Linked DNA regions of Caenorhabditis elegans. The protein of the gene in region 1 interacts with the protein of each later gene in a pairwise test. Each region holds a gene or a part of one and is shown on either strand. Other genes may lie near its edges.

What was found.
Region 2: the proteins of myo-1 (region 1) and itr-1 interact in a two-hybrid assay, tested with the Caenorhabditis elegans proteins (one study listed by BioGRID).

Annotation. Positions count from the first base shown.
Region 1 is NC_003279.8:7,259,172-7,274,830, forward strand, and holds the start of myo-1 (Myosin-1), read right to left. Parts: upstream 7,887-15,659; 5' UTR 7,765-7,886; coding exon 7,696-7,764; intron 7,116-7,695; coding exon 6,843-7,115; intron 6,466-6,842; coding exon 6,123-6,465; intron 6,071-6,122; coding exon 5,966-6,070; intron 5,914-5,965; coding exon 5,746-5,913; intron 5,699-5,745; coding exon 1,422-5,698; intron 1,374-1,421; coding exon 1,169-1,373; intron 1,120-1,168; coding exon 884-1,119; intron 768-883; exon of another isoform or gene 668-767; intron 434-667; coding exon 293-433; 3' UTR 1-292. Other genes in the region: twk-1 (Potassium channel domain-containing protein), read right to left, coding at 10,187-10,291, 10,337-10,444, 10,843-11,481, 11,527-11,681, 11,734-11,893, 12,066-12,161, 12,910-13,002; Putative tyrosinase-like protein tyr-3, read right to left, coding at 15,120-15,192. UniProt on the Caenorhabditis elegans protein: Muscle contraction.
Region 2 is NC_003282.8:7,667,685-7,683,420, forward strand, and holds the start of itr-1 (Inositol 1,4,5-trisphosphate receptor itr-1), read left to right. Parts: upstream 1-7,489; coding exon 7,490-7,568; intron 7,569-8,847; exon of another isoform or gene 8,848-8,997; intron 8,998-9,794; coding exon 9,795-9,897; intron 9,898-11,488; exon of another isoform or gene 11,489-11,634; intron 11,635-13,672; exon of another isoform or gene 13,673-13,740; coding exon of another isoform or gene 13,741-13,784; intron 13,785-14,024; coding exon 14,025-14,168; intron 14,169-14,221; coding exon 14,222-14,429; intron 14,430-14,588; coding exon 14,589-14,738; intron 14,739-15,140; coding exon 15,141-15,428; intron 15,429-15,474; coding exon 15,475-15,633; intron 15,634-15,736. Other genes in the region: C08G9.2 (uncharacterized protein), read right to left, coding at 1-201, 253-599, 643-1,054, 1,099-1,264, 1,318-1,490, 1,537-1,650, 1,696-1,859, 1,909-2,482 and 7 more. UniProt on the Caenorhabditis elegans protein: Receptor for inositol 1,4,5-trisphosphate, a second messenger that regulates intracellular calcium homeostasis.

The DNA.
Region 1 (15,659 bases):
AACAGAATTTAAAGATCAACGGAGACTCGGCGCGCGAATCGTTCAAACAGAGAGTGAGAGAATATGATTGAGACTGAAACTTTAACAATTAGGAAAAAGGAAACTGAGAAAAACTTGATTATAAACAAGATATGTGGGGGAAAATACAAAACTATGAGAAATTATTTGTGTGTGCAGCACTGCTGAAAAAGATGATGGACAGGAGGAAGAAAATCGACGAGAGGTTTTGAAGGTCAATGGGGAAGTGAAGTTTTGTGTGTGGGGACCATGGAAATTTATTCAGGGGGCAAATTTACTTGTTGGTAGCCGAACGAACAACTTGACCGCGCATGCGAACCAATGAGTTCTCGGCAACCTCGGCACGCTCTTCGGCATTCTCGAGAGCGAGTTGGATCTGTCGGAATTTGGACAGATTCTGGGTGGCGACCTCTTCCTGAAAATTCAAACTTTTAGTTTTTGTAAATAAATTTGAAAAAAAAAACAACATTTCACGACTCCAACTTTGTGGAATCATATTTGGTATTGCAAATTCATGAAAACGTGAAACATAACTTTAAAGGCACACGCAGTTTTTAAAAGTTGGTCTCGCCACGACCTCTTATATTCAGTGCACTACTATGATCAAATAGTTGTACCTATACAATATAAGTCAAATAATGGTCATTAGATCGAACAAAAGTTTAAGGATCGTAATCAAATATGATTTCAATTGGAAATTCCAATTTGAACTAAATAGGTACTATTGAATAAACTCTTTGAAATGTTGAAAAACAGGAATGATTACATCGGATCAATAAGTTTCAAATAATTATGTTAAACATTCCATTCGCTGATAATTCGCTAATATTCGTTGAGGTTTTAGTTATTAATAAAGTATACATACCGCCTCTTCGATTTGTCTCTTTTGGACGCGAATCTTCTGTTGGAGCTTCTCGACGTTCTCTTGAAGTCTATCGAACGCCTTCTTGTCTTCCTCGACTTGGAATTGAAGCTCACGAGCGCGTCTCTCCTGCTTGGTGTAACCCTTGATGGACTCTTGGTGTCTGCGTTGCTCAGAGTGCAACTCGGCTTCCAGGCTACGAACACGATCCTCGACCTTGGCCAATGCTTTGGCACCGACTGAAATATACAATTTTTCGACTTTAGAATACTTTGTTTGGTAACATACATTGGATCATGGCACGTTCAGCATCATCGATCTTAGCCTGAAGTTCCTTGGCGTTGAGCTCGAGGGATTTGCGTTGTCTGTCGACATGGACTGCATGCTCTTGTTCTTGACGGACCTCTTCAGCAAGACGATCCGCATCAGCAGCTGCCTTGCGGGCACGCTCCTCTGAAGCCTTAAGCTCGTTCAAGTACTCGTCCAATTCGTTCTGAAAGTTTTATTTTTTAAAATCTGACAATCCGTTTAATAAACTCACTCTGGCAATCTGAACCTCGTTCTCAACCTTTCTCTTCATGGCAGAAAGAGCAGCATTGTTTCCAATAAGCTCAGTGTTGGAAGACTTGAGTTCAGCCTGTTCGATTTCGAGTTGTTTCTTATGCTTATCAGATGCCTCGATGCGGTGAGCAAGATCCTCGCTTTCAGAAAGAGCAATAGCAAGTCTCTTCTCAGCAGCCAAATAGTTCTCACGGATCTCCTCACGTCTGCGTTGCTCATCATCGACTTGTCCTTGAAGTTCCTTGACTTGGTCGAAAAGTTTCTTCAAGTTCTTCTGGGCGTCAACGTTAGCCTTGTTGGCATGATCCAAAGCAATCTCGAGTTGATTGATGTCAGTCTCAAGCTTCTTCTTGGCTCTGGCGAGCTCGGCCTTGCTCTTAGCTTCGGTTTCGAGGGAAGCTTGGATGGACTCGAGGGCACGTTGATGGTTCTTGCGAGTGTTCTCGAATTCCTCCTCCTTCTCTTGAATTCTCTTCTCGATTTCTGAACGGATCTGTTGAACCTCGATTTGAAGACGGAGAACCTTGCTCTCTTCGGCTTCAAGTGCAGCCTCGGCCTCATCAAGAGCATGTTGAAGCTCGTCCTTTTCTTGTTCGAGACGGCGGACAGACTTGTGAACCTCTTGGTATGTACGTCCTCCTTGGGTGATTTGCTCGTTAATGTCGCGAATCTCTTGCGAAAAGATCTTGTTCTCGCGTCTCAAGGTCTCGATTTGCTCGCTGAGGTTGTCCATGGATGAACGAAGTTTGAAGACTTCAGTCGAGGTATTACGGCTGTCACGAGTAGTGGCATCAATCTCTTTTTGGATATCATCAACCTTTCTCTTCCAGTCATCAACGATCTTGTCGAAAGCACGTTGTTTCTTTTCAAGGGAAGCAATGACAGTCAAGTGACGATCAACATCTGAACGAGCATCTTCGGTTTCGGCAAGAAGTTTTCCCTTGGCCTTCTCGAGAGAGATGACCTTGTTCTGAGCAGCAGAAAGAGCCTCTTGAAGATCCATAACTCTGTTCATCTGCTTTCTCTTGAGCTCTTCCAACTCCTCAGATCCAACCAATCCTTCTCCTTCGTATCTGGCCTTCCATTGAGAAATCTCGGAATTGATACGGGAAAGTTGACGTTGAATGTCGTCTTTTCCGTTGATTTGCTCCTCGAGCAACTCGTGGCATTGATCGAGTTCGTGCTCCAAGTTCTTGCAGGCAGCATGGAACTCTTGACGCTCGTGAAGCTCGTCTTCAGCGGCCTTCTTAGCCTCTACAAGTTGAGAAGAGAATGCAGTCTTGGCACGGTTGATGGTAGCCAAATGAATCTCGAGCTCTTCAACTTGACGAGCAAGATCGGAGTTGTCGTTGGAAAGTCTTCCCTTGGTGGAAGTGTACTCTCCGATTTGTCTCGATTGCTCGTCAACCTTTTGTTGAAGCTCGGCAACTTGGATTTCGTATTGCTTGGCAAGACGTTCCTGTTCAACACGAGACTTGGTCTCTTGATCAACCTGAGCATTGATGTCATCGAGTTCCTTTTGGAGGACTCCCTTCTCCTTCTCGATCTTAGCCTTAGACTTCTGAAGAGCATCCAAGGTGTTGGTCAAGGCAGAAATTTGGTCATTGTTCTTTCTGCGTATCATAGCCATCTGATCTTCGTTGGCCATGTTCTTCTCGTCAAGATCTCTGCGGAACTTGATGATTTCAGAATCCTTCTTCTTGTTGTTGTCTTGTTGGATTTCGAGTTGCTTGTTCTGTTCGTCAAGTCTCTCGTTGAGCTCATCAAGCTCGCGTTGAAGCTCAGCACGAGCACGGTCAGCCTTGGAGCGAGATTGTCTCTCGTGCTCAAGCTCATCTTCGATTTCAATAATGCGTTGAGCATTTTCCTTGGATTGGCGGGTAAGTCTGTTGGCAAGTGCTTGCTCATCCTCAATTCTGACTCCAAGAGCATGGATATCAGCCTCCTTCTTCTTGAGGGAAGCATCAGTTTCAAGCTTGATGGCGGAGAGCTCATCGATAGTTTCTTGAGCTCCCTTGAGTTCACCCTCAACCTTTCTCTTAGATTTCTCAGTTTCAGCTCTGATTCTCTTCTCTCTTTCAACAGCTTCTTCCATTTCGTCCAAAGTTTGCTCGAGCTTTCCACGAAGTCGGTTGGCTTGAGCTTGCTTGGCTTCTTCAGCTTGAAGATCGTCGACAAGTTGACGGTTGTTCTCTTCAAGAAGCTTCTTCTCCTTGTTGATTTTTCCAATAGTCTCATCTTGAGAGTTCATCTCATCTTGAAGGGAATGGATCTGGTTTTCCTTGGCGGCCTTCTCCTCAAGAGATTTAGCCAAGTTTCCATCTACGGCTTCGATCGACTTCTTCAAGTTTTCAACTTCTTGTTGAGCCTTTCTGCGTTGCTTCTCAAGATCAGCGTTCTTCTCTTCATGCTCCGAAAGACGGTCGTTGGCGTCATTCAGAGACTTCTCAACTTCTTGACGAGCACTGTTGAGGCGGGTAAGCTTCTCTTCGATGGCAGCAGATCCTCCTTGGGTAAGCTCGAGAGCTTCCAAAAGTTTTGATCTCTCAGCGGACAGCTTGGCGTAAGCCTCTTCTTGAGATTTTCTGGCAGATTCGGCCTTCTTGGCTTCAGCTTCAAGAACCTTTTGCTCTTCAGCCATCTTGATCATTTCTTCAGCCATCTTTCCGCATTTAAGTTGTGGACGGAGCTTTCCGAACAGCAAGAACCAATCCCAAGTACGGAGGACGCACCAGGAACGGATGTTGCGTTGAAGGATGATGTATGAGTTGAGTTGCTTGCGTCTTGCTCCGGCATCAGCAGTGGCAGTGTACCAACGGATGGCAGATTGGAATCCAGTGATAATCTGGTTAAGCTTGTCATCTCTCAGATCTTCAATGTGGGCAACAACTCCAGCCTTGAAGAAGACTTTAGTGTGTCCAATTCTGAATTGTTCATCATTCAATTGTTTTTGATTGATAAGTGCTTGAAGGATAGCTCCGGCACAAGTCTTCATGTCATCCGATGACTTGGCTTCCTTGGCGGCAAGGATAGCGTAACGTTGGACGAAATCTGGATGTTGAGTTCTGTTGGGGAATCCCTTTCTGCAAATTCTAATTCCTTCCAACACTCCGTTACATGTAAGCTGGTTGAGCACAAGGGCGGCATCAATCATTCCAGATTGTTTCTTCTCGTTAGGAATGATACAACGGATGAAATGTGGATGAGTCTTGTGAAGCATAGTCATGAGCTTGTTGAGAGATTCTCTGTACATCATGGATACAGTCATGAAAGATCCAGACTTTCCTCCCTTGCGACCACCTCCGGCCTTAGCGGCGGCAGCAGCTTCTTCTTGGGTGGTGTAATCTTGCCAGATTTCGACAAGAAGGTCGTTCTTCTTCGAAGCCTTCATGACGGAGACAACGGTGTCGTTGAGAGGATCCTTGTTCTTCTCGAGCCAGTTCAACACGTTGTAACGGACAGTTCCGGCGTAATGCCGCATGGCGAAGTGAGCCTCTCCTTGCTTTCCCTTTGGTGGTTTTGGCTTTTCGAAGTTTGGATGCTTTCCAAGATGTTGATCGGTAAGCTTCTGGGCAAGAGTCATGTCAGTAGCCTTTGGAACAATACACTCCTCATCAAGCATAGAGATGATACCGAGTGGCTTCTCAATAAGCTCGATACAAGCTTGGAGATCAAGTCCGAAATCAATGAATGTCCATTGGATTCCTTCACGGGCGTACTCTTCCTGCTCAAGAACGAACATGTGATGGTTGAAGAATTGTTGGAGTTTTTCGTTGACGAAGTTAATCCAGAGCTGTTCGAAGGAATTGAAGTCGAAGATTTCGAATCCAGCAATATCGAGTACTCCGATGAAATAATCACGATCAATTCCCTTTTGATCAAGAGTAAGATTACATTTCTTGACAAGCCAGTGGAAGACACGAGCGTATAACCCCTTAGCCATGGCTCCAATAGCCCAGTGAACTTGATCAACGTTCTGTCCCTTGGATACCCATTCGGTTCCGACCTTGACTCTTGGAGACACCAAAGCCTTAAGGAATTGATCGACATCAATTCCGTACATGTTACAAGCTCTCTCAGCTTCATCTTGGCCATCTGGCTCGGCTTGCTCCTCACGTGGGCGTTGCTTGAATTTCATGTTACCCATGTGCATGTGAGCCGACATGAGTCTATAACAATCCATCTTCTCGGTGGGCGAGAATTTGAGAACATCAAAGGCCTCGTCGGTCAATTGGAACTCCTCAGTGTCATCGATTCCTGGAATAAAACAAGTTAATCTCATTCTCCAGAAATACAAAACATACCATCAATGAGCAACTCAGCTTGAGCAACAAACCAATAGTTGGAAATTGGATGGTTGAGAAGAAGCTCGTCACGGAGTTGTGGCTTAAAATCTGAGTAGATTTGGTAGAAGATATGGTAACAACGCTCTCCTGGAGCTTGACGGATGACACGAGATTTCTCGAGAAGATCTGAACAATTTACGATTTTCGTAATAACTTCTTATCATTATTATCAACTTACAGTGTTCAATATCGCAGGAAGCAAGAGTTCCGTGCTTGTTGAAGTGAATACGGATGAACTTTCCGAAACGGGAAGAATTGTTGTTACGGACAGTCTTGGCGTTACCTAAACAACCAAATTATCAGACAAGTGTTAATTTTTTAATTTATGTCTGTACCGAAAGCTTCCAATACTGGATTGGTTTGAACGATCTGGTCTTCAAGGGTAACTTCCTTCTCTCCCTCCTTCAAAGCAGCCTTTTGTGAAGCTCCGACGGTGGCAAAGTAGCAAATAACCTTCTTTGTGTTTTCAGTCTTTCCGGCTCCAGATTCTCCGGTAATAAGCATAGACTGATTCTCATGGTCTTGAAGCATGTAACGGTAGGCTTGATCAGAGACAGCGAACAAATGAGGTGGCATCTCGGTACGACGCTTGCCCATGAACATACGAGCAACAGAGTCAGTGTAAATTGGGAGACGTTTGTATGGGTTGATGACAACGCAGAAAAGTCCAGAGTAGGTCTGAAAATGGGCAAATTGGAACATTTTGTTTCAGTCAATATCCCATTTTTATAGAACTTACTTCTTTAAATTTCAGTAGTATTCAAATTTAGTTATTTTTTGGAACGATATTTTTATATTCTCAATACTGCCTTTGTTGAATCACATATTTTTAGTACCATTCCAATTTCAGTCCAAAATTCCAATATAAATTTTCTCTTTACTCACTGTGCACATTGAGCATGACTCTCTTTGTTTCTCATCGTCTGTCTCGATCCACTTAAGATAGCATTTTGCCACTTTTGCGTGGGCGCACTATTTGCCTATCCAACTACGCATTTTCGCAGATCTTTTTTCCGTGTTTCTATTTGAAGTTTTTTGAAACTGAAAAAACTTACATAGATAAGCATAGCAGCGTAACGGGAACGCAAATTCCACAGAACGGAGGCGTCATTAAGGAAAGTCAAGTTGGACATGTCTTCGGTTTTCTCGAACTTTGGTGGATTGACTTCTTGAACGATATCCTTCTTCAAAGTTACATCTTTGCCTCCGGCGGTAACGATAACAGTATCGGCCTTTGGTCCTGGACCCTTAATAACTCCCTCAATGTATCCTTCTTCGGCATCTGGAATCCAGACGTTCTTCTTCGAATCGTATGGGCGGGATTGATCCTGTAAAATAAAAAAAATATAAAAATTAATTTATATTCATACATAGTTATAAAATAATTATTATCCTAAATATCAAAACGGTGAAGTTTAGAAGCTTTAAAAATAACGATCTACCGAAAAACCGGTAAGAATTTTAAGAGATTGAACCTTGAAAATATGTTTAAAAAAGTAGCCAAGAAACAATTTTTAATATTTTGCTGTAAAAATGCTCACTTAACCACTTTAAAATAACTCTATTGTAATTGAAAAAGTTTCATTTTAAAGTTTATCAGAACATATTCAACAAGTAAAATAAAGATTGAATCTTGTTCTAGTTGGAAAATTAAATTGAATTGTTTCTATACTCAAAATAGATGAAATATTATTTGTCGAGAGAAGGACAAATTGGGAAAATACGGTATTTTATTAGGTTCAAAACTGAAGGAACAATTCGTTATTAGAAGTGTATAAAAAGCAGCGACTTCAGATAAATTTCGAATATTTTGGAATTTGAGAAGATTAGGATTTATGAGGAGAAAAAATACGTCGAATGTAAACCTAGGAAAAAGTAGAAAGTAAAATGAAAGAAGTAAAATCTTACCGCGAGCTGTTGCTCTCTCGACCTTTTCAGGTACTGCCATCCTGGGTCCTTCTCGTGTTCGAGCGACATTCTTGATTTGTTTCAGTGGAAATTAAAACGAACGGCTAATTGAAAAATGAGGCTAAACAGGTGGGTGACTTCTTCTTTTTCTTCCTACTGCTGCACTGCACACAGCTCCACACTACTGTGCTCTGCAGGGACGGATAATAGTTTGGCACACACAAGAGAGAGCTTCACTCGGCACACTTCATAGGGCGGAGCAACTCAAACTCCCCCTCATCTTCCTCTCTTGCTTAGCGCCCGTGCGCAAGAAAGGGGGCTCTCCGATATCCACACAATGAACTGTTGCCGAGAGCATCAAACGTCTCTTGGATGTGCATTGTCCATACGTTTTGAGCTTTTGCGTCGCCAGTCCAAGTACTTTATCTTTCAGGTTCATCGAAAGAGTATGTTAAATTGAGAAACGAAGAGATTACTGTAGAACTTGTTGAAAAAATCAGAGGAGGGGGTTCTTTCGGAATGAGCCCGCGCTTTTTTGAGCACACATTATTATTGGATAGAGACATACGTAAGAGATTTTTGAGAGTAAGCGCTTGGAACTTGTGGGAGTAGATAAAAAAATGTAGAAAAAAAATTAAGGGATTCATTCTTAGTTTACTTATATTTGTATAAAAAATTGGAATCAGTGATTTCAGTAACCTGGACCAGCAAACTGGTCTTATTTTATTATTAGAAACAACACTATTAGAACATTAATGAATACTGTGTAAGAAATCCGAATAATAATAATAGATCTAAATCGGATTTGGACACAATTATTTAGAAAAATTTTAAAAAAAGCGACGTTTTGAGTTTAAAAAAATATTTTTGCTTCCATCGTGTTCTTTGAAGTACATTCAAAGTTGGATGCTTTGTCGTTGAAAACATTTGTCTACATTAAAATTCAGAAATCCATCAAAAAATTTAACATGAGAAAATGTTATATAGAAACTGTGCTGCCAAATAATATTCAATATAGTGTACCTTAATACCTCAAGCAATTTTATAAGTATTTATTTTTTTTGTCAAACCATGATATTCAACCTTAACGTTTTCATTTAAAAATCACTATTTTGTATTCGCATAGTTCATTCGCGATGTGCGCATACTCATTTCGATTGAGGACCGGTACGATATGTGTTTCACGAAAACGAGCATCCGCAATGCACTCACTGCGAGGCGCGTTTGGCACATTGTGGCCGACTTCGTTGGGGATGTGTGCCACAATATCACTGCTGCGAAGATCTCTCTGGACATATTATGTGCTGATCAGATATTAGTCTCCCAGCTAGGAATTAACTTTTCAGATTATTAGTTATAGATTGTTTGAGAAACCTGTTTTTTTAACTGTTGCAAATAACGTTTTTTTTGTAGCTTAACCTAACTTTCATATCCATTCTCTCCAAAAATGTGTTGTAATAATGATGAGAGACCAAGTGGCATTGGTGAAGGAAGTTTCACCGAATCTCTCGACTTTTTTGTGCCATGTCTTTGCTCCCCCATCCCACACTCGGATACTTCTGCGCATCCTCCGCTCGCCTTTTCTTCGAATTTTTCTCGTTTTTCTAATAGTAATATTTGCCCAATTTCTCCCCCATCTATATCTCTCACACAGTATTTGTATGTGTGTGCGTAAATGTGTGTGTGTCTGTTTCTTTTTGAGATTTTCGCTCCTCTTATTCATCTTTGTTCTCGGGGCCACCCCCTGAAATTCAAAGTGAACACGGGAACACCGATCAAGTATGTACATCGACCAAGAATTGAAATCATTTTCTCCTAGTTAACAGTCTGGAAACACGAAAAGTTGAATTAGTTTGTTTCTCAGCAAATTGAAATAAAAAATTAAAGTTTCTAAAAACTTTTAAGAAGACTCTCGAAATTTCTAAGATTTCTGTGACATGTACCATTCTTTTTCCTTGTAAGTATTGCTGATCTACTAGAAAATGTTGTTTCAGAATTTTTTCTTAAAAAATTCAAAGGATAAGTTAATTAAAAAATTACAATAAATATATATGCAAAAAGGATTCTGATGGCAAAAATATTCCCAACATTTTCGATATTTTTTAAAGAATAATGAAATTAGTTAGTTTAAGACCTTTTTGAGTCTATTCCCACTTTAACCTTTACCAGAGAATGCCACTGTTTAATGACTGCGCTCAATATGCTGTCAATTTACTATTTTCTACTACATACAGTTATCAACCTATTAATAAAATGACTTTATGTTCTCAAGTTTGTTTCCAAATACTGAAACGAAAAATTAAGCTCGTAGTCAGCTGGGGAAAAATGTTTCATTTATTTCCATAGAAATAATACAATCAGAACAATGAGTTTCTTTCGTTAAAAAATTACGTATTAAAGCCACTTGTTTTGACCAGGTGAATTGACAAAGTAACACATTATTGATATCCGTTTCTTTTTTTGTTTCGAAAAATCTAAAATTGCAGAATATCTACACATCTTGTTGCAGTAAAAGTCGACCATCACTGTGTACCCGATGAGCTTTCTTCCGTAAATCAAGTGATGTAATTGCTTCTTTTGACTCAATATTGCTGTCCTAAACATATGAAATATCACTTAGAAGCAATTTCAGTTAACTTACAGAGGCCGGTTTAGAAAATGGAATCTTTGGATGATGGTGGTGACCGTGTATTCCTCGAACTGATGGTTTCCTCAAATGATGTTGAATAGTGCCGAGGGCAAGAATTGCCTGAAATAAATTGAAAATTAAAATTATATATTTTTATCTAAAGGAGCGTATGGTAGACTTAAAAATGCTCCTATGGCCAAAAAAAAAAGTAAACGACGAAAAATAAAATAGGAAGGACGCTAAAAAGTAAGTTCGGGATATATAGCCGCGGATAAAGAACTTTCCAAGCAAATTTCCGAAACATTTAATGAGTTTCTATTTTTAAAGTAATTAAATTAAAGTTTGAAGTAAAGTAGATATCACCATGAGGGAACATTTTGATTCAAAGGAAATGGTGCAACTGGAAATTCAGTCGGGAATTTCTGTCTCCTCAAATAAATATTCCAATTTGGACGGAATTTTTTTTAAAGAAAACTCTGTTTTTCTGAATTTCCCGTAATATTTCCGTTATCACCTACCAACTCAGTATCCTTCGGAATACTTCTCTGATTAGTACTTGTGAAGGAATGAATCGTTGCCTGACAATCATCTCCATCGGAAGATCCTGATAAGAAAACTGTCTTCTTTCTTGGAGCAGGAGGAGATAAAGCTTCCGAATTATTAACTGATCTCCAATCTTCTTCATCGTCATCTTCCTCTGCTTGTTTGCATGCAACTTCCAATATCTTATCAAGATCATGTAATACTTCCCTCAGTTTTTCCGGCGTTGATCCAAACTTTTCAGCCACCAAAGTGACCAAATCCTTGACAGTCATCATTTGCCCTCCAAACCAAATTTCAGCTTCTTCTGAATCTGAAACCTTTCTTCCATAGTAATGAATCCACATGATTCCTTTTTGAAGACTTGCAAAAAATAGAAGCATTGTAGCAACTCCAGTGCAAAGGTATACAGTTACAATTATATATTGAAAAAGTCCTTCTGGAGTTGGGGAGTAATCTCCATATCCAATAGTTGTAATCGAAATGAAACTAAAATAGAATGCATCTAGAAAGTCAAGTTGATCGATCCACAGTGAGAATATGAGAGCTCCAATAAAACAATGAGCGGCTAGAAGAATTGCAGAGGTATACCATCGAAATCCGGAGTTCTCCACGTTCTGAAAATTACTGTTAAACATCTGAAATTCAAATATAAAGATTACCTGTGAGCTATAACTTCTGTGTACAATATTACAAATATCTACAACAAGTACACTATTCGTTGCAACAGTCATGAAGAACAATGGTATTCCAGCCACACAATATAATATACAAATTACTTTTCCTCGATCGTCAAATGGAGCAATGTTTCCATATCCTGTCAGTTTTCAAATAGTTATTTTATTTGAGATCTAAAGTATCATATTTACCAATTGTTGAAATTGTTGTAATGCAGAAAAGAGCTCTATCCAAGAAGGATGCTTCATTATTTGTCGAAGAATGTCGCAGATCGAAGACTTGACATCCGAATAGAACATAAAGAATTAACGCAACGTTCAGAATGAGAACATATGTCGAGGCAAACATTAACTGAAAATTTGAACTTTATTTTTCAAAAATATTACCAGCACGTTAAAAAAATTGATTTCTGATTTTCATGTTTTAGAAAATTGTTCATAATTAAAATCTTCCGCCTGAGCATCATTTGCCTACAGTGGTTTTGTTTTTAAAATAATTTTCTGGTTAATGTCCCAGTGCTCACCTCCCGCTTAACCATTTTCTTGGGGCAACATTTATCCTGTTGAAACTGATCCCTCCAAACATGATATGGACGATCCAGCCAGGATGGTAATTGTTTCTAAAAAATATATATTAAAAATAAAACTGATAAATCATTGGAAGGTTCAAATTGTTTCGTTGAAAATATATTGGAAGATGGTGATATCTTAAGATAAAGATGCTAGCGGAAATAATTGATCTCATAAAATGAGAAGATTTACTGCAAAAGTTTGAGAGATGGTCATTGATTATATTCTAGTTAAACACAAACTATAAAAATATGATCACTTGAAATTTCTCTCAACGATTTTTGAAAATAAAACTGATCTGTTTAGTTGAGTCATCGTTTCAAAAAATAATTACTGAAGTTGTTTTGTTTTGACGAAAACTTGAATTTCTAATTAGAAACCACTGAAAATAGAAAAAGGAAGTAAGTACTTCCACAATAATATTTATTCTACAGTAACCCTAAGTAAGTATTGGCAGGACAAGGAAATTTATAATTTTGTTGAAATCGTATTTCAGAGAGTTTTTAGAAAAATTTTGGTCATTGTCATATGTGAATGATGAGATGTTTGCATTTCTCACTTTCTGTGAACCGTATTTCACAAGAATTCTTTTCGAAACCTTAAGCCGGGACATTTTGCAGCTTCCATACATAAGATTAATTGTTTTTGCCTTAAAACCTTGAAATGTTTCGTGATCTGCAATTGCCAAAGTGCCGAAATTTCAAAACAATTTTCGTCTCTCGGATATATTTGTATGGAAAAATATTTAGTTCAAATAGTTTCTCCATTGTTTTTCTAGTGAATTGTCAAAATGCTCACCTTCGTTTTCTGTGAAATAATCTGATTTTCAATCAATCCAGCATGTTCTTCTTCTTTTCCAATCCGATCGTTGTCACCATCGTTGAAAGTCATGTTACCTGCAAATAAACCGTCTCTCGCAACACACTGAACATCGAAAACGAGGATCATAAACTTTTGGAGAATTGATACTAAATGTATTGAAAGGGGCCGGGTCTCTTTTCAATGAGTTTTTATTTGCCGTTTATGACAAACTTGTCTTATTTTCCAATCTTTTGACCCCTCATTTTAGTCCAAAAAACGACCAGTAATTAGAATGAGAGGCTATTTGTCAGAAATAGTATAGAATTTTGAGAGACACTGACAAATGACACATAGGTAAGTAAGTCTCTGATAATTTTGAAAAAAAAATGGAATTCGAATTGTGAAAAACTGGTTTTGAGGTGGTAAAAGGATAGAAAAGTTTATTTTTTATTGCACAAATTAACACACACATCACTTCAGCCTCTGTTGAGGAAAGTTCGAAATGATAAAATGTGAACCACGTGGATGTGTTGAAAAGGTCACATAAGAAACTGGTTTTCAAGTATTTTCCAGTAGTTTCGAAAATTGGCTGAATTGCGAAGTCGATAAAAATGAATTCTGTGAAAAATCGGGTTCCATATTTTTTGAAATCCCCATTATTTTAAACTTTCAGAGAAGAAAATGGAATGATAACAAAAATTGGGACTCAATTTCGGTGAAACTGAGCTAAATTTTTTTAATAAATTTTTATTTAAAAATTTAAATCTAATAGTAAGTATAAAATTGAAAAAAATAGGCCCAGTATTTTTAACCTCAAAATGAAAAATATTAAAAAAGAAGTTAGTTTTTCGTTTGCTTTCACAAAATGAAATACCTGCATTTGACTAAAATGTTGAAGTCTTGTATAAACTGCGGATTTTCTGTAAAAAGCAAATATTTTAAGTTAAGTTCAGTCAAAAATTGAAAAAAAAAACGGCTGCAAATTAACGAAAAATCGGACGTTGTCTGTAAACTTCACACTTCAGGCGTTATCATCTGCGCATCAGATAACTTTTTATTTTTCTCCGTATCTTTTATGTTCTCTTATTGATAGTTTTGACAAGATTCTATGAGATTGGCTATATTTAGAACCAATGGCGGTATGAGAGGGGGCGAAACAACGGAAACGATATACAAAAATAATTCAATAAGATTTATGATGAAACGGTGTTTAGTGGCTGAACGATTGGAATAAAAACAAAGTAAATATAGAATTTATGAATAGTTACTGTTTAATTGATTACTTGATAAGTTAAAATTTGAATACATTTTCCCAATCTTTAGGATAAAATGGATTTTTGGATTTTTATACTACGTTATGGGAGATTGTGGGAGAAACCATTAACACTGCATTTTCAGTATGTGTTTATATTCGATTTCAATAAAATCAAAAACATATCACATTTCAAAAAACATTCTTTTTTAACGATTGCCGAACAATTACCAAAATTTTCACAGTAGGCAATTGTTGCGTCCCAAAATAATTTTTGAAAAATATACAGAAATGCCATCACATTGCTCAAGTTGATTACTTCAGGAATTGCCGATAACTGTGGAATAATGTTAAAGATTCAATAAAAATAAAAGCTCTTGTTATAAAAAAATTTGTTTGAAGGTAAAGTGTAATGGAGTTAGTTTAAAATGGTACACATAGACTTTCTTCTTATAATTGTACGTAATAGAATGACAAAACATACAAAAATATAATGACTCATAACATTCGTGAGTATTCAGTCACCTTTTCCTCTTTACAACAATCCAACACAAAACACCAAAAATTCTATCGTTTTTTCGAGTAATTGGTGTTAGAATCAATGGGTGTCAAGTGCGTCATATTGAATTAAATTCAAAAAATAAATCGGTGTCTCAAATCAAAAAAAAGAAGAGAACTGTTTGATGACCGACGCCTTCTGCAGCTTCTCGAATTGAAGAAAAAAAAGTATCGTCAACTGATAATGAGAATTGATAGATGGTCAACCACCTGTGTCATTCGTCACAGAAAATGTAGAGGAATTGTTTGACGAAAAAAAAACGAGAAAAACTGTTTTCTAAACATCTGAAAAATGTCTGAACCGGAAGGAAAGGCGTCATGATGTGAAATGTTTATATGTTTTAAAGTGGCAATCATAATGTGAAAATTGTTTGAAAAAATGACAGAAACCTTCCGGTCACTTCATGCGAATCAATTCCAAAAATGCGCTTCGAACTATTCTTGTCGCACATCTGGCAGCCAGCTGCTGTCTAAAAAATGTATTATTATCACATGTGGGAATAGTGTCCTTGAGAAACTGTATGGACTCTTTCTTCTGGATCAAAGTTCACAAAAAGCCTCCTGTTGCACTTTTGCACTTTTACACAATAGTGTTTCTTCACAAAGCAACACTTTTTTGAACAACAGCAAAAATTACGAAATCAATGAAAAAAGTGGAAATCTCGTAGAAATTGTATAGTATTCTTTGATAGTAGTGCATATTTTAATACTGTAATCTAAATTGTTTCTAAAAAAGTGTTTTAAGAGAAGTGGAAATATCGCATCTCTTCGGAAAAAAAATAGTAGAACGGAAGACTTTTGCTATACTTGTTGTCAACTTAGAATTTCGCGTCAGTCAAACATCTGCCAAAAAAGTAAACTAGGCGCAGAAGTTGACAGAACTTCGGTAAAAAGTTTGGAAATGGTTTAAACGCGGCCGTCTTGCAAAGAACCAAGT
Region 2 (15,736 bases), on another chromosome or scaffold:
CAGAAGCAAGCATTATCGGAATAACAGGACATCTGAGTGATTGTTGAGCAACTTCGGGAGTTGAACAACAAAATGATATATCACCGTATCCACTGTTTTTGCAATGGTATCCAGCAGGGCAAGATGAAATTGGTGAACACGTGGCAAGGAGATGATTTTCAAGAGCAAGCGGTTCTCCAGTTCCACACATATTTGGAATACCTAATAGATATTGAAATATAAATATTCCTTCTAACAGTTTCTAGAACTTACACTTTGCAACTGGTCGACATTCCGGTGTAGTACATTTAACTGGAATCATTCGGCAGACATTTCCAGCGGGACAGTTCAAAAATTCGCATGGAGATCTGCAGTCACAAATTGGACATCCTTCATTATCACTGTTGAATCCGTACGGACATTGTTCGGCGCAAAATCTTGTTGGACAAGGTCGAGGATCATCACAATTTGGAACTCGTGTTGATTTGGTACCAGCGATCTCTTGACCTGATCTACCTACACACCACATAAGACCAAAATGAGATTGCACTTCGTCAAAGTTTCCATTCAAATCACAATCGGGAATGAAAACTCCCGAATCTTTTTCATTTGACTCGACCCTGAAAATGAATTTATTTCAATGTTTTTTTCCCAATTTCTTACCCTTCACTTTTTGCAATTGTCAATGCAGCAATTCTTTGATGAATACAAAGAGGAGCTCTATGAGGTTGAGTACATCTCATGACACAACCATCAGAACAACATTTATACAATGAAGGACAATCATCATCATTTTTACAGTCTGCAATTGTAGGTCGTTGAAGACAAAATGCTCCAAGTGGAGCAACATTCAGGCACTCTCCAAAATGAGTTCCGGGCATTGTTTGTTGTATTGAAGGAGTAGGTACAATGCGAGATATAGATGAAGTTACACATGTCAGCCCACATCCATTCCAACAACATTTTGAAGTTTGTCCACAGTCGGAGTCGGTTTTGCATTCTTGAATACATTTTTCAACTTTTGCAGTGTTTAGGTCTGTTATTTTTGGACACGTGCCCACGTGTGTTTCAGGTGCTGTAAAACTGATATTTTTTGAATAAAGTTTGAAATAGACTTACATTCAGCTGTACAACAAAATCCAAATTCCTGTGTAACCATAGAACAATGCGTAGTCATAATTGCATCAAAGCAATCATTACTTCTGTAACACTTCTTCAAATGAAGTGATGTCTCATTTTTGACTGCTTCAGAAATTGGACAAGGATTTATGATACATCGAGGGATCTGAACAGTTGGAGATAAGTACATTAGTATGGTAGTTATTAAATAATACACACCGTTGGACATGGCTTCGTAACACATGGAACTGTAGTTGGAACACACAGAGAATCTATTCCACAGGTGACACCTTCACATGGATCTACACAATCACACGTTGCACATCCTCTTTTATCTTTTTTATGTCCATACTCGCATCCAATTGTACCACATTCAAGTTTTTCACATGGTTCTGAAATGTTTAACGATTGAAAATCATTTTTCATGGTGACTATTACCTGGACAGTTTGGTGTAATATCTTCTCCAGTTCTGGTCCCTTCTACATAATTTCCTTCTTCATCCACGCACCAACAAAATTCAGTGTCACATTGTATTTGCTCAAACGATCCATCTAAAAACTGACTTAATAATTAATCCAGCTTTAAAAGCAACTAACCTGGCCTGCATTTGATCAAATCCATTTGTCCCATCTTTTGTAGATTTGTTTTTCGAACAAGACATTTGCTTGTTTGTAGAGGATAAGCACACGCTTTCACACATCCATCGTCACAACATTTGGCAACTCCAGCACAATCAGTATCATATTCACAGGTATTTTTTCTGAAATATTCAATTAAAAATATATCTTTGTGATAAATTGGAAACGCACTCTAGTCTGTTACAAAGAACACGTTGTTCAGAAATACAAGTTCCAGCTTTCTCAAATATTTCTTTGGATATTTCAATTAGAGGAGTTGCAATATCTCTGCATCCTGCCCCACATCCATCAAAGCAACACTTTTGATGTCCACTACAATCATCATCAACTTTACAAGAAACCCTGCACATTTTTGCGTCCAAACTTATAGGAACAATTGGACAAGAACCTGCATGACGGACAAGAGGTGGAGATAGGCAACACATTCCTCCAGATGCCAATCCAAGTTTATGACACCAGTGAGTTGAAGTTGGGCATTCTTCATCTTTTGTACAACTTTCAGCATTTCCAATACTGGAAATATATGGCTCTCCGGCTGGACAAAAGTTCAGAACACATCTAGGTTGTGGAACACAGTTTCCCTTCTGATAACATTGAATTGAGCTCATAACGCATACACTTCCTTGTGGACATTTTACTTCTTTGCATGGATTTTTGCATTTACAGGTTGGACAGGAGTTTGATCCTCTTTCAAAACCAAATGGGCATGCTACTTTACAAACCAGTGGTTCACATGGGTTTCTACCTGAAAGCGGAATAATTAAAAAAGGTCAGAGAAAATATCTATGCTAATATTGTAGACGCATCTGGAAAGTAGTGCTCGACTCACTTTCACAGTTCGGTTTTCTTCCAATGGCTCGCGATCCGGGCAGCTCTTCTCCAGTTGCTATGTCCACACAAAAACATCCTTCATCGTCACATTGGTATTGTTCAAAATTTCCTGCCCTGTCACACTTCATTGCATTTCTTAATGAATACAATTCAGCTGTCAATGCAAGATGAAAGCAAGCTGAAAATGATGTAGTTGATACCAAACCCAACGAATATCAAACTCACGGGTGCTCCGAACTGGATACATACACGAAGTTGAACATCCTTGTCTACAACATCTCTTCATTCCAGCACATTGAGAATCAGAATGACATTCAGTTGCACAGCTAACATTTGATGCAATGATATCAATACAATCTGCTACCAAAGAGCTCAAATGTCCCTTGTTATACTTCTCAACATCGCCCGGTTGGTAATGCATCACTGGCTCAATTGGTTTCAATGGTTTTTTCAGAACATAATCTTCAGGCTGTGTGCAAGATAAAGTGCAGCCATTGAAACAGCATTTCTCATCTTCAGAGCATTCGTGATCCGAGTGACATGAATTATCAGGGTAGATGAGACACTTTAATTTGTCAGCGGCTTGGGAAGGACATCTTCCGTCTCGTGTAGATGACGCTGGACCCGAACAACAAAATCCAAGTCCATTGTAGCCAATCTGAAAGTTCTATAAATATGCACACTTCTTTCAAAGTATCTAGTACCTTTGAACAAGTTCCTTCGGGACAATCTTTATCAATAGAACACAATGCTGTAATTCCATTTCCAAGACGAGAAGGTGGTCCGTGCCTACATGGGTTCAACAGACCTGAAACAAACTTTATATATCTTTGAAGTAACGTTTTTGAATCAAACATCGCGGAACAGGGAGACATGGAGGATTTGCACAATCGGGCTCAACCAGCTGACACTGCTCCCAAGTATTTTCACAATTAACATTTCTACAAATATCCACACAAGAACATGATGCAATAGGACATCCGAAAATGTCCATAACGTGTCCATGAGTACATTGATTGTGGCACTTTTTCGTACATAAACGGGGTTCTAAAAATCAATAGTGTAATTGATTTTCTCCAAAAATATATGTTCCAAGACATCAAATACCTCTACACATATCAATCCTTCGTTGTTCTCGACTTATTCTTGTACCAGCTATCTCTGAGCCATAATGTACATCGACACACCAACAAAACTGAATATCACATTGAATTGATGAGAATCGTCCGTTTCGTTCGCAAAATGGAACAAATTCATTTGGAAGTCTTTTATCTTTTAATTTCGAAATTGCTAGAACCATATGAATACATCCAGTTGCTTTGAGAGGTTCCATACAAGTTGATCCACATGCATTTTGACAACATTTATCAACACTACCACAATCCAAATCATTTGCACATTGTTTTTGATCAATGCATATTGATTTATTTGATGTTGGAGAAGGACATTGACCGACTTTTGTTGTAGGAAGTGGACGAATTGGTGAAGGAGTTGGAAATAGAGAGTTCGCAAGATTTCGTATCGTTGGTGGAATTGGAGTTATATTGAAATGAGTTGATCCAATATTTGATACAGCTTTAATGAGACGTTGAAAGGAACCAGGGATGTTATTAGATGATGAAGAAACTGGTTGAATTGGAACTTCTCTGTCGATTTGAAAACTTTTAGCAATTGGAGCAACACATTCTCGTCCACATCCGTTCGAGCAACAGATCAACCGACCACTACAATCAGAGTCTTTTTCACATCGAAGTGCACATATACCACCAGTTAATCGTGGGCATTCTTCTCGATTTGATCCTGAATCAAAAAATATGTAATGAGCTTTCATACTTGAAAACAAAAAATACAAAAATTATGTTATCAAAAATTCATTTTCAATTTTGAATTTTCAAAAAATTTATCTTGATTCTTGGAATTATCTTGAAATTAACTTTAATACATATGTACATTTCTTTTTTGTAATTTTGAAGAAATTAAATGCATTTTTTAGTTTTTCTTGTTAAGGACATGAGTTGATTTTTTATTTTTTGAGAAATTCTAATATAGAAGGTTATTATGTGATGTAACCGTTGTTCGTTTTTTTTTCGTTTTTCAATTGTCTTTTATAGAAAATCGAGAAAAATCTTTGGCAAAAAAGGAACAGAGTATTCACAAAAACGTGTCCGAATACTAGCTTAGCCGTGTAGTAGCCAGATAATTGTCACTTCTCTTCCCAAAAGAGACTGGTCACGCACCATAATTGGATGTACACTTACCGAACTTTGGAATGCAGCGTGCTTTCACGCCAATTGCAATGCAACTTTCTGATGGTCCACAAATTGTCGTCTAAAACATTAATATAGAAAGTAAAATATTATTAAGAACAATTATTTCTCGTTAAATATATTATAGAGTGTTAGAAGAATTCAAAAAAATATCAGAGATCTTTCAAAAAGCCTAACCTGGCAAGGATCCATTGCACATGTGCAGATACATTGTTGAAGAATATCTTTCAAATATCCAAAAGGGCATAATAAATTACAACTGGTTGGACGGAAAGGACATACATTTGGTACACTTGCCGGTAAAAGGTCTATAGAAGACGACAAAAATGGTTTCAGAATTAAAAGATACAGTAACCACATAATTGCTCATTTGACATCCGGAAGTGATAAGAATAAAAGATGTGATGGTCAATTTAGGATAGTAAAAGATGACAGGTGGATTGAGGGAAAAGAGACAGGTTACTTCTGTTGAGTGGACACATTGCAACCCCCGGCCACCACCGCCACGGACACGCCGCCCACTTTTGCGGTGTGAGGTGCGAAACTGTCTTCCGACAGATTTGTAAATATTACGAGGAAGTTGATGTAATACGGAAGAGGTCCACTGGATTTATGTGAATGAAGAATCAAAAGATTGTAAAATGTTTAGATATGATGAGCTACAGGGTCAAAGGTGATTTGATACACGATTTTCGAGCAGAAATGCTGACTTTTCGAAATCTCATTGTTGTTTAATCAATCACGGGATGTACGAAAGGGATCTTGGTTTTGGATTTTTGAAAATCAAAATATTACAGGAAAATATAATGCAAAACTAGTACAGACTGTGAAAATGTTTCTAACCTTGATTTCTGCTCCGTCCAACTGTGAAATTACATTGTGTGTCAATTTCAAAAACGGTACGTGATTTTTTAGTTCTGGTTTTTAAGTGAACTTTATGTATATGAGCTCTGAAAACAGGAAAATAAGGGAAAATTAATAAGGTAGTCAGAATGAAATATTGCAATTCGAACATAAGCATTTAGTTTGAAACAACCCGTATTTCCCTTATTAGTTTTGTAGCTTCTAGTTTGTCATGCACTGATTTTCCGACAGACCGGCTATACTCTGTGGGAATTTCCGCAAAAATTAAATTTAAAATTAATAGATGAGATGTGGTATGTAGTTTTAAAAAAGTCGATGGATTCAGAAAATGCTCAGAAAAATCCGCGCATTAATTTCCAAAACTATCACATTTCAGAAAAGTATCAAACATCATATTTTTGGAGTCCAATACTACTTCTTCATTTCTTTTTTTTTTTTCTTTTCCACTAGTTTTACAATAAAATATATTGTTTTGTCCTAATGAAGCACATTTCATTTTGTAATGTTTTTTAACTTTCTACTGTAGGATATTCTATTCCGTAATCGTACAAATCTTCTTTCTCTCCCAAATTTAGGCTGCGCCCTGTTTCAAAGCTCTGCTAATAGTACGCAAAACAAATGTATTCGCTAACTCTTTCGCTCATTTCGGTATAAGTGTCACTTGGAGATCTCTTCGTCTCTCGCAACCCGTATTTGTATTGTTTATCTTCCAAAATGGTAGTCGACTGCTCATATGAATTGAATTACTAGCGGGATATGAAAGAGACATGAGATTTATAAAAAGTAACTGAATATTTCAACTTTTGAAATTGAACTTGTATCATTTTCGAAACTAAAATGGAAAAACAGGAACGATATTACTTCATTTTTCCACTTAAAGATGGAGTAGCAAAATTTGGGTGATTGTTTTTAGAATCAAAATTGATCCTAAATACCTATTGAGACAACTTGAAAATGTCTCAAAAATTATTGTATTAGGTTAGTCATTCTCTAAAAGAAAACGGGCAACCCTTCAAGTATTAAATCATTTTGAGCTTGAAAAGAGAGAACATTGTTCATTAAAATTCATGTTTGGGCTCCTAAATCTACAAAAAATATCACATTTATATTTTCGGCAATTCTGATTTCCTGTAATCGACAATTTCAGCGATTGCCGAAATCGTCGAAAAGTCGATTACCGAACGGCAATTGCTGCATGCTATGTATCACACCGTTTCAGCGTTGTGTATCGTATTTGTTCAAAGATAATTTTCTTGTAAATCTCGATGTTATTGACTACTGCAGCTAATACATTTGAATTCCCATTAATTCCTTTAATTTGATAAGTGTGACTTGGTTCCCGTTGCCCACCATCTTTTGTTCCTTTCCTCCTATCTTCAAATCAAACGCATCTGGAATCTATTTTTTTCATTGTTGTCTGTCTACCGATGCCAACGATCTGACCTTTCTTAATTGGTATTCGCGCTCATTTTGACATTGTGTCAACTTCAACTATTTGCGCGGGTTTACCTGCAAAAAAGTAAACAAGAAAAATGGAGATGAAATGAAAGAATTTCCAATAGAAATTTGTTGTTGAAAACTCTCTGAACCATGAGACCGTCCAAGACGTTAACATCAAATCTTTTCAATTCAGAAACGTTTCCTCTTTTTCTCCTTTTGTGACACGTTTCCTCCGTTCTTTTTTGGAGAGTCACTATATTTTTAATACGATTTTGCTTTACAATTTCTTTTTTAAACTTTTATTGATTTTGTGCTTCTTATTTTCCATTTTTCATAAAAAGTATTCCAGAATGAATCCATCATATGGCCGGGTTCGTAAGAAAGTATCCATTATATCTATTCCAGAGTTCGTTCCCGAGCATTATGAATGTAAGTTTTTACATTAAAAAAAAACTTCTAAAATCTGCTTCAATTAACGATCTTATTTTTTTTCAAATTTTCACCGATAAACTTAAATCTAATTGATACGGTTAGCATTGATGAAATCACTGAAAAATGTACAGGAAACTCAGAACTTTCTCAGTTTCAATGTTTCTTTTTAACCTTAAAGGTTGAGTAGCGAACTATATTTATTGTTCTCAAAATTCAAAACCAACGTCTAAATAGTCTCAAATTGAGCCTAACTTATTTGGCCAACGCCCCAGAAAAAAAACCAACAAGAAACACTTAATAAAACCACCAAAATGTGTAAAATGGAAGTTAAAATTACCGGGCGCCATTTCACAGGATATGTTTTGTTATTGTTCGTGTTAAAAGTTGGTCCATAAAGTAGATTTGAATATAAAGCCAAACTTTTGAGAACCGGTTTTGATTTTGACTATGATGAAAGAGTTTTGAATTAAAAATATTTAAAAAAAAAACACTTTTTTTCAATTCTTCTAGAAAAAGTGCATTTATTGACTCACCGTTAGAGCATATCGATAAAACAATAGACAAATACAATCATATGGGACATCAACCAGCAAAACACTTTAAAACACATTTTTGTTCCCGGAGGTCTCTATTTTTTCTTGTCTTTCAAAAGAAAAGGGGCACCTGTAAGCGGCTTACGTACCGTCTTGGTTGTCTATTGATGTATGTGAGGCATATACATCTATTTCATGAATGTTTCAACAAACAAAATATATACCGATTGTTGTGTCTCTTTCTCTAATATTTTCCTGGTAAACGATATGCATAAATTTCTGTTTCTCTTTCCTCTTTCCACACATCTGTTCGTATTATTTTACAAAATGAACTTACAGATGTTTTTTTGTTGTCTCGTTGGCATCGTAACTAATCGAAAATGATTGATGTTCGAACACGAATATCATTATATTTATTGTCGTCTTCATCTTTTTGTCGAATAGTTTGTATCGTTGATTTCTAACATTAGACGTCATCGAATCGTTCATCAAATTGTCGACCTGATCAATTTCTTTTTCTCTCTATTTCTCTTTACACAACTTCAATCTCTGAACTGTAAATTCCAAATTCGATTAAAAAGGCTAGAGAGTTTGATCGTTCTGGTTTGTGACTGAATTATTTGATGAAAGATCTAGTACGATTAATATGTTCATTATCAAAAGCTAGATGATCATTATTTGCCATTTTAATTCAAAAGAGGAATGATCCAGAGACAATGCATGAAGGAAATGATAATTAACTTGAAAATTATTTGGTATAAACGCCTTAACAGGTTGTGAAAAATTTAGGAAAATACCGAAATCGACAATCATAATAAAACACTCCACAATTTTTGATTTGGTGAAATTTTGTAAATTGTAGATTTTTCAGAAAGTTTGGACTTTTTGAGTAATTTCGAGCATTGCTACAGATGTGAACCTCTAGAATATTTGAATAAAAATAATTTCAATTTTCATGAAATTCAAAATTTTATAAAAATTGTTAACAATTGCCGACTTCCAAAATAGGTGAAAAAATTAAGTAATTGTCACTGTTTCACTGTAAGTAAAAAACTTTGATAATTTTTTACAAAGCTCTGCTAACTATAAGATATCCGGTAATTTCAATATTATTGGGCTGATTTGAAACAACTTCCTCACTGGCGATACTTTTCATTTAACTGAGTATTAAAAAGCATGAGCAAGTTGCCAACCAACTTTTAAATAAAACATATTCCCGTTCCGTGTATATGTTTTTATATTGCCGTTTCTATTCAGTTTTTTGCTTTCCTTTTTTCCAACATTTTGCTCATAAAACAACGTGCTTCACAGCTGTGATTCGTTGCATAATCGTCTTCAGCTTCTCGCTCATAAAACCAAAATGTTTTAGATGTTTAGTTGTCACTTCATGGTTTTTTTTGTTTTTTTAAATAGCTTTTTTGAGTTCAAATCCTTGCATGTTTCTGAAAATTTACACGCTAACTAACCTATCACTCCTTATTTCAAAATTAAAAACAACTTCCTTAAAAAAATTAAAAACCGTGTCAAATGTGATTTGTGTAAAAGAGTGTGGTGTAGAAGTGACACAGATCGTTAAACTTTTATAGTCCTTTTGCTTTGAGCGTACCGTGCCGTCGATCATCCGATGTGAAGAAATTGTCTAAAAAATGACAAGAAAATGAGAAAATGTTTAGTTTTGCACAATTTTCAGACGAAAACGAAACGACGGCCAGTGGAGGTGCTAGTGGTGGTGGAAGCACACGAATTGAATTTGATTTTGATGATTTTGAGGAACAAATTATGAGGAAATCCAGGTTAGTTTGTATTCTTGAAAAATCGTATTATTCGAAGAATAAATTGAGTGTCATTTGGCTGTTTTGTTACAAATCCTGTTTTACTGTTATCAAAAAAAAAACAATTGAAAAAACAACGTGAATGGCGAGAATATTCCTGTATCAACAAGAAAAAAGAGCCTTTTCAAATTTGTTTGAAAAAGAAGAAACGCTGCTCATTCTCAAGTACTTTGTATATCGAGATGGTCTCCTGGTATCGGTATCACTTTGGAAAAAAGTACAAGGTCGCCGATATAAAAAGGGTGTAATGATCATTTATTTGAGGTATTTTTGATTGGAAAAAATTTTGGTAAACTATTCTCGAGTTATTTTTTTTCTCAAATCATATGTGCTTCTATTTTTGAATTAACTTGGAGATTCGAATAAATCAGTGAACTATTGCAAGCAATACTAACTTCCAATTAAATGTTGAAGTAATATGTATCAATTTTGAATAATAAAAATGCATGTGAACCTGATGAATTTGATTTAAATCTAAAGTTAATGATACGTATTCTTATAACCGATTTATAGTAAATCCTGGCATATCCAGATTCCAAGGTGTATCTCTTTTGAAGGGGAAGTAACAGTTTTGAGTTGTTGCTTGAATAGACTCAAGATTTTCTCAAAATACTGAAAATCACAACGAGAAATCTCGGAAAATTTTATGGCGTTCAAAATTATTTTTTGGTGCAGTCGCACAATTTGATAACCACCTCTAAATAAAAAAATCCCTATAAATTTTAAAATTTATTTTAAATTTTAAATTTTACGTAAATTTTCTGATGAAGTACTTATCGCAATTTGTGTTCCCATACTCCTTTTTTCCAGACAATGGCAAAACTAAATAATCCGTTTAATACTATTAGTTTGATTTTTTAGACTGATAATATTAATTTGCAAACTATCATTGATGATTCTCCTGTTTTAAACAGACTATTGTGGTTAGTTCCGTTTGTCACTTATTAATCCAGAGTTATGGACAAAATTAGATTGAATATAAATTTAAGTCCATTACTGAGTACCTTGTTACTTCCGAGTTTTCGAGTTGACCGAGAACAATATTTGGCGACCTCTGAAGCGTGACGGAGATGATCGAATATTGCTAATATATTTGTTGAACTGTTCATGAAGTTCGTTCATATTTTGATTGTTTCGGTATCATTTCTTTTTCCTTCTCCTCCATTTTTTTTTCCGTCACGAAACAGTGAAATGATTGTGGGCATATCCGCCGAGTAGTAGGCGGACAAGCAAAACGTCATGATATCACCCTTCTTTTTTTCGCCTATTTTCTGTGGTCACTGATTAGCTTTTGACAACCTCACTCCTCTTCATTTTTGCCCATTTTAACTCAAAACACCAACCCATTAACATTTTATAGTTTCCTTCTTCGTGTCTTAACTTTCATAGTTTTGTTTGAGAACTGAAGCACATTTTTTGGCAACTTACTAGAAAGTAATTTTTGAATTTAGGTTTTTTCATAGAACGGTTAAAATTTTCGCGGATCGTCAGAAACATACAGTAAAAATCAGAGGATTTGTAAGTAAGAAAAAAGAAAAAGAGAATAGTTTGATTGTCTGTCTGAATCTCTTCCTCATTCTATACTATTTCTTCCTCTGGTGCAGTGTACAGAAAACTGTTGTAGAGTATGAATAACTAGAGAAAAAGAGTTGTTTGCATACAGATGTAGATTCAATAACCTTATCACTTTCCCCTGGACTTTCTCTGAGTGTTTGTCAATGATTGTTCAATGATTTTGATTTTAGGCGGGACACACATGTTTTTGTTTGTGATAACATATATTTGAGAAGCCATAATTGTGAGAAGAATCACTTATGTGTTCCATTCTTTGTGTTTTCAATACGTGGTTTCCATTTCATTTGCGTCATTCATTTGGCTCTTTCACGGAAATTTAATTCATATCACAGGGGTTTAATTTTGACCGATGAACAGTTATTCGAAACATTTCTGACAGAATTTTCAAAAGACGAACCGTTTTTAGATTGGTCGGTGTAGAACTTTTTGAAATAATAACTGTTCGGTAAAATACTTTTTTTAATCTAGAGAATTTGGCTACAAAAACAGTAATGTTTTTACCCAAAAATTGAGTGAGACGTTCTCGGAACTGTATAATTTTTCTAGCCATATTGATAATTCATAATGATTCGTGTTGGTTCACAAATATTTTTGTCTTGGCATTTCCCGCTAACTTCGTACTAAAGTTTTACCAACGTCTTATAAAACTTTTGTACTGCTGTTGAAAACTTGAATAAAACTTGAGACAGAAAGCATTTTTTTGAAACTAGATGAAACTTAAGAAAAAATAAGTTGGCAAAAATTGTACAAAAAATCTAAAAAAATTCTTAACTCTTATAGAAAGGCAGGACCGTTATAAATCCCGTGGATTTTTTTGTCAGTCGTTTTTTTACAGATACCAATGAAGGCTTTGCTTGAAAGCTTTTTTATATTTAAACAAATTTATTTTGTTTTTTGAGCAAATTCTGTTTAAAAAAAGTGTTATCAAAATTCATTCCCAAATAGCATAACGTAATTAAAAACTCTTTATCTCTCTATCGCTCGAAATATTTACTGCATGACTATTTCACTGCACGTCACTAGACTTAACCTTGCATAATTCACATTTGTAAAGATCACACACAGTTCACTAAAACTATGAAAGCATTTTATACTTGAATTTTGGAGGAAAGTCAGGATCTTTTTATGGTATGCATATGTTTACTCGCAGCTTTGGAAACATCGATTTTTTCTATTTTCTCAATTGCTGTAAATTCGATATTTTATACACAAGTACAAGTAGAAATATTTTGTATTCAGTTAAAAATCCATCAAATTTGAACTGTTGTTTCGGATGGCGTCTGCTGCAATTTTTATTATCACCAGCACCCTTTTCCCTCTTTTTCTCTCTGATAACAATCAATCGGTTTTTCATTTTTTGCAATATGTGCCTCCTCCTCCTCTTCGTTTTTCCTTCTGCTGCTTTTTCAATATGTTGCCATTATTTGATTATTAATTTCATTTTCTGAATTTTTCATTTCACACTTTTTGCAACATCTTTTAATATTAAAGAAAAAAGTCGTTCGGTGACATAAAAGCTTTTTGTTTTGAAAGCTTTGTTGAGATGTAAATCATGGTGCCGCCAACCAAAACTACCTATTTTTGTTCAAAATATAATTGTATGCTTTTATAAAAAATGAAAAATAACAGTCAGAAATTTTTATTTTACAAATTTACGAATTTCTGAGTTTGAGCTGTTCAGTATTTGAAGACCCTCCAATTTTCCAAAAACTCAGAATATTTGACTGAATAATGCAAAAATAAAACCGAGGCGGCCTGTATTGTGTACAATTGCCAGATTTTTAAAAAATTTGATTAAATTAGACGATCAAGGTCTTTCTGCATTTTGCTTTAAATTTTCTAACATTTAAAAAATATTTCAGGATTTTTTTACTATTCTTCTAAGCACTTATTGATATGACTGGTCAGAACCACATTTAACGTTCAAAATTTTTAGTGATATTTGTATTCTATGTAATATTCTCTATGTAATACATTGTATGTAAATTTTTATTCTGAAATTGTCAATGTTCGTTAGTCATCATCACGAATATTATTGTGAAACCCGTTTTTCAAATTGTCATTTCCATTTCTCTCGTTCTCAATTTCCTCTTGTTTTCCCTTACAGATTTTATCTCGACGATACCTTTCTGAATTTCATATATTTGTTACCTTGTTTTATAGTTCCACATTACTTCTCAGTTCTTCTACTACTTCTACTTCTATGCACCTTTCAAACTTCTACACATAATGGACTATGACTATAGGAGACGTGTTCTGGAACGTAACATTGGGTGAGAAAATTGAAGAAAATGAAAAATAAAACAAAAATAAAAAAAAAAAAAAGAAAATAAAACAAAACCGAGAACATCGATAAAATGGGAAATACTGTGTTTCGAGAAGATGGAAACAACGAAAAACTGAAAGAGAAACAAAAAAAAGAATTTTGTGACAATAGAAAAGTGCTAAAAGCACAGTCATCCATTGCTTCTTCTTCTCCTTTTCTTTTTTCTAAATAATTTTATATTTTTCAGCATGGCTCTTCCTAGTCGGAAGTTAACCATTGCCAACAGTATTGATCACGGAAACAATGGAAATTTACATATTGGAGATATTATTTCTCTTTATACAGAATCATCTTCAAATCAAGAACAGAGAGGATTCTTGAGCACACTTGGGTTGGTTTTTAGCTTTTAAAATAAATATCTGAAAATTACTGGAATATTTACAGATTGGTAGACGATCGATGTATTGTTGAACTTAAAGATGGGCGGCCTGAAAGCCCGCCAAAAAAGTTTCGAGATTGCCTTTTTAAAGTGTGTCCTGTTAATCGATATGCAGCTCAAAAGCATTTATGGACCGAGCAAAAGCGATTTCAAACTGGAGATTCAATGTTTGACGATGATCTGATGAATAAGCTGAAAGTTGCTGCGGATAAGGTATCTTTATTGAAATCTGGAATTAGTAATTGGAATTGAAAACTGAAAGTTTAAATCCAAAAAAAAATTCTTTTAAGTGCAACAATACTTAACTAAAGTTTTTTGGTTCTCATAACAGCTCTAGAAGAACCAATAATTTCTTAAACAACATATTTTCAGGAGCGGGAAGAAAACGAGTCTGAATTTCAAAAAACTCTCGGAAACGTTATACAATATGGTTCAATGGTTCAGTTGCTTCATGTCAAATCAAATAAATATATCACAGTGCAAAAGAACTCACCAGCAAAAAGAGAACGAAATGCGATGAAAGTTAGTTTTTTAATTCAATAAATTATTTTTTATTTTGTTAGTGATCAAAAACTTAAATGAACAGATACCTTCTTCACATTATCATCGTGTGAGTTGAAAATGAGTGAAGTTTTCAAAAGGATTTGAGCATAAAAAACGAATGCGGTGATAATTGAATGGAATGCATAAATAACTTTTTAAAATTAAATAACATGTCTGTGAATTTGGGAAACACTTCTAGAATTTAATGGAATGTAGCATCTTTCTAAGTTACCCACATTTTCTCTATGGGTTCAGAACAAGCCAGAAAGCCTAATACAGAATTTCTGGCCAAATTTTGTCAGCATTTCAGTTTTATCAATAAAACTTCTACACTATCGCATTGATTGTTATTTTAAAAAATTGCATTATCTATGTCTTTAGGTTTATCTGGATCGTGCTGGAAATGAAGGAAGTTGGTTTATAATCGAACCAGCATACAAGCATTATGCTATTGGAGACAACGTATCTGCTGGAAACAAGATATCATTGATTCCAAACTCAGTATCCACAACTCAAGCCGGACATGTCAAATCACAGCTTCATCTTTCATCATTCAATCTTCTCGATCATCAATCAGCTGCCGAAGTTAACTGTTTGAATGAACCAACTGAATGGCAGGTCTTTATGTTTTTGCTTTTTGATGAAAACCAGCAGAACAGTGTGAAATCAGTGAGTGTGATTAAAAACTAAACATGCGACTTATTTTATTTTTCAGGGAGATGTTGTGAGATTGTTTCATGCAGATCAGCAGACTTTTTTGACATTAGATACAATTCCAAAGCAGAATCCGCCAACTGATGTAGTTTTTCTAAGAATGACGAATCGACCGTCGGCAGCTGATGCAACAAGTTCGAGGGCATTGTGGGAAGTACAGGTTAGGATTTAAAATTTTTGAGAGATTCTAAGAAAAAAAATAGCAAAAACTCATTGACTCCAAAATCATTGACTACCTGTTCTCATTGCCTACCCTTGCTCAT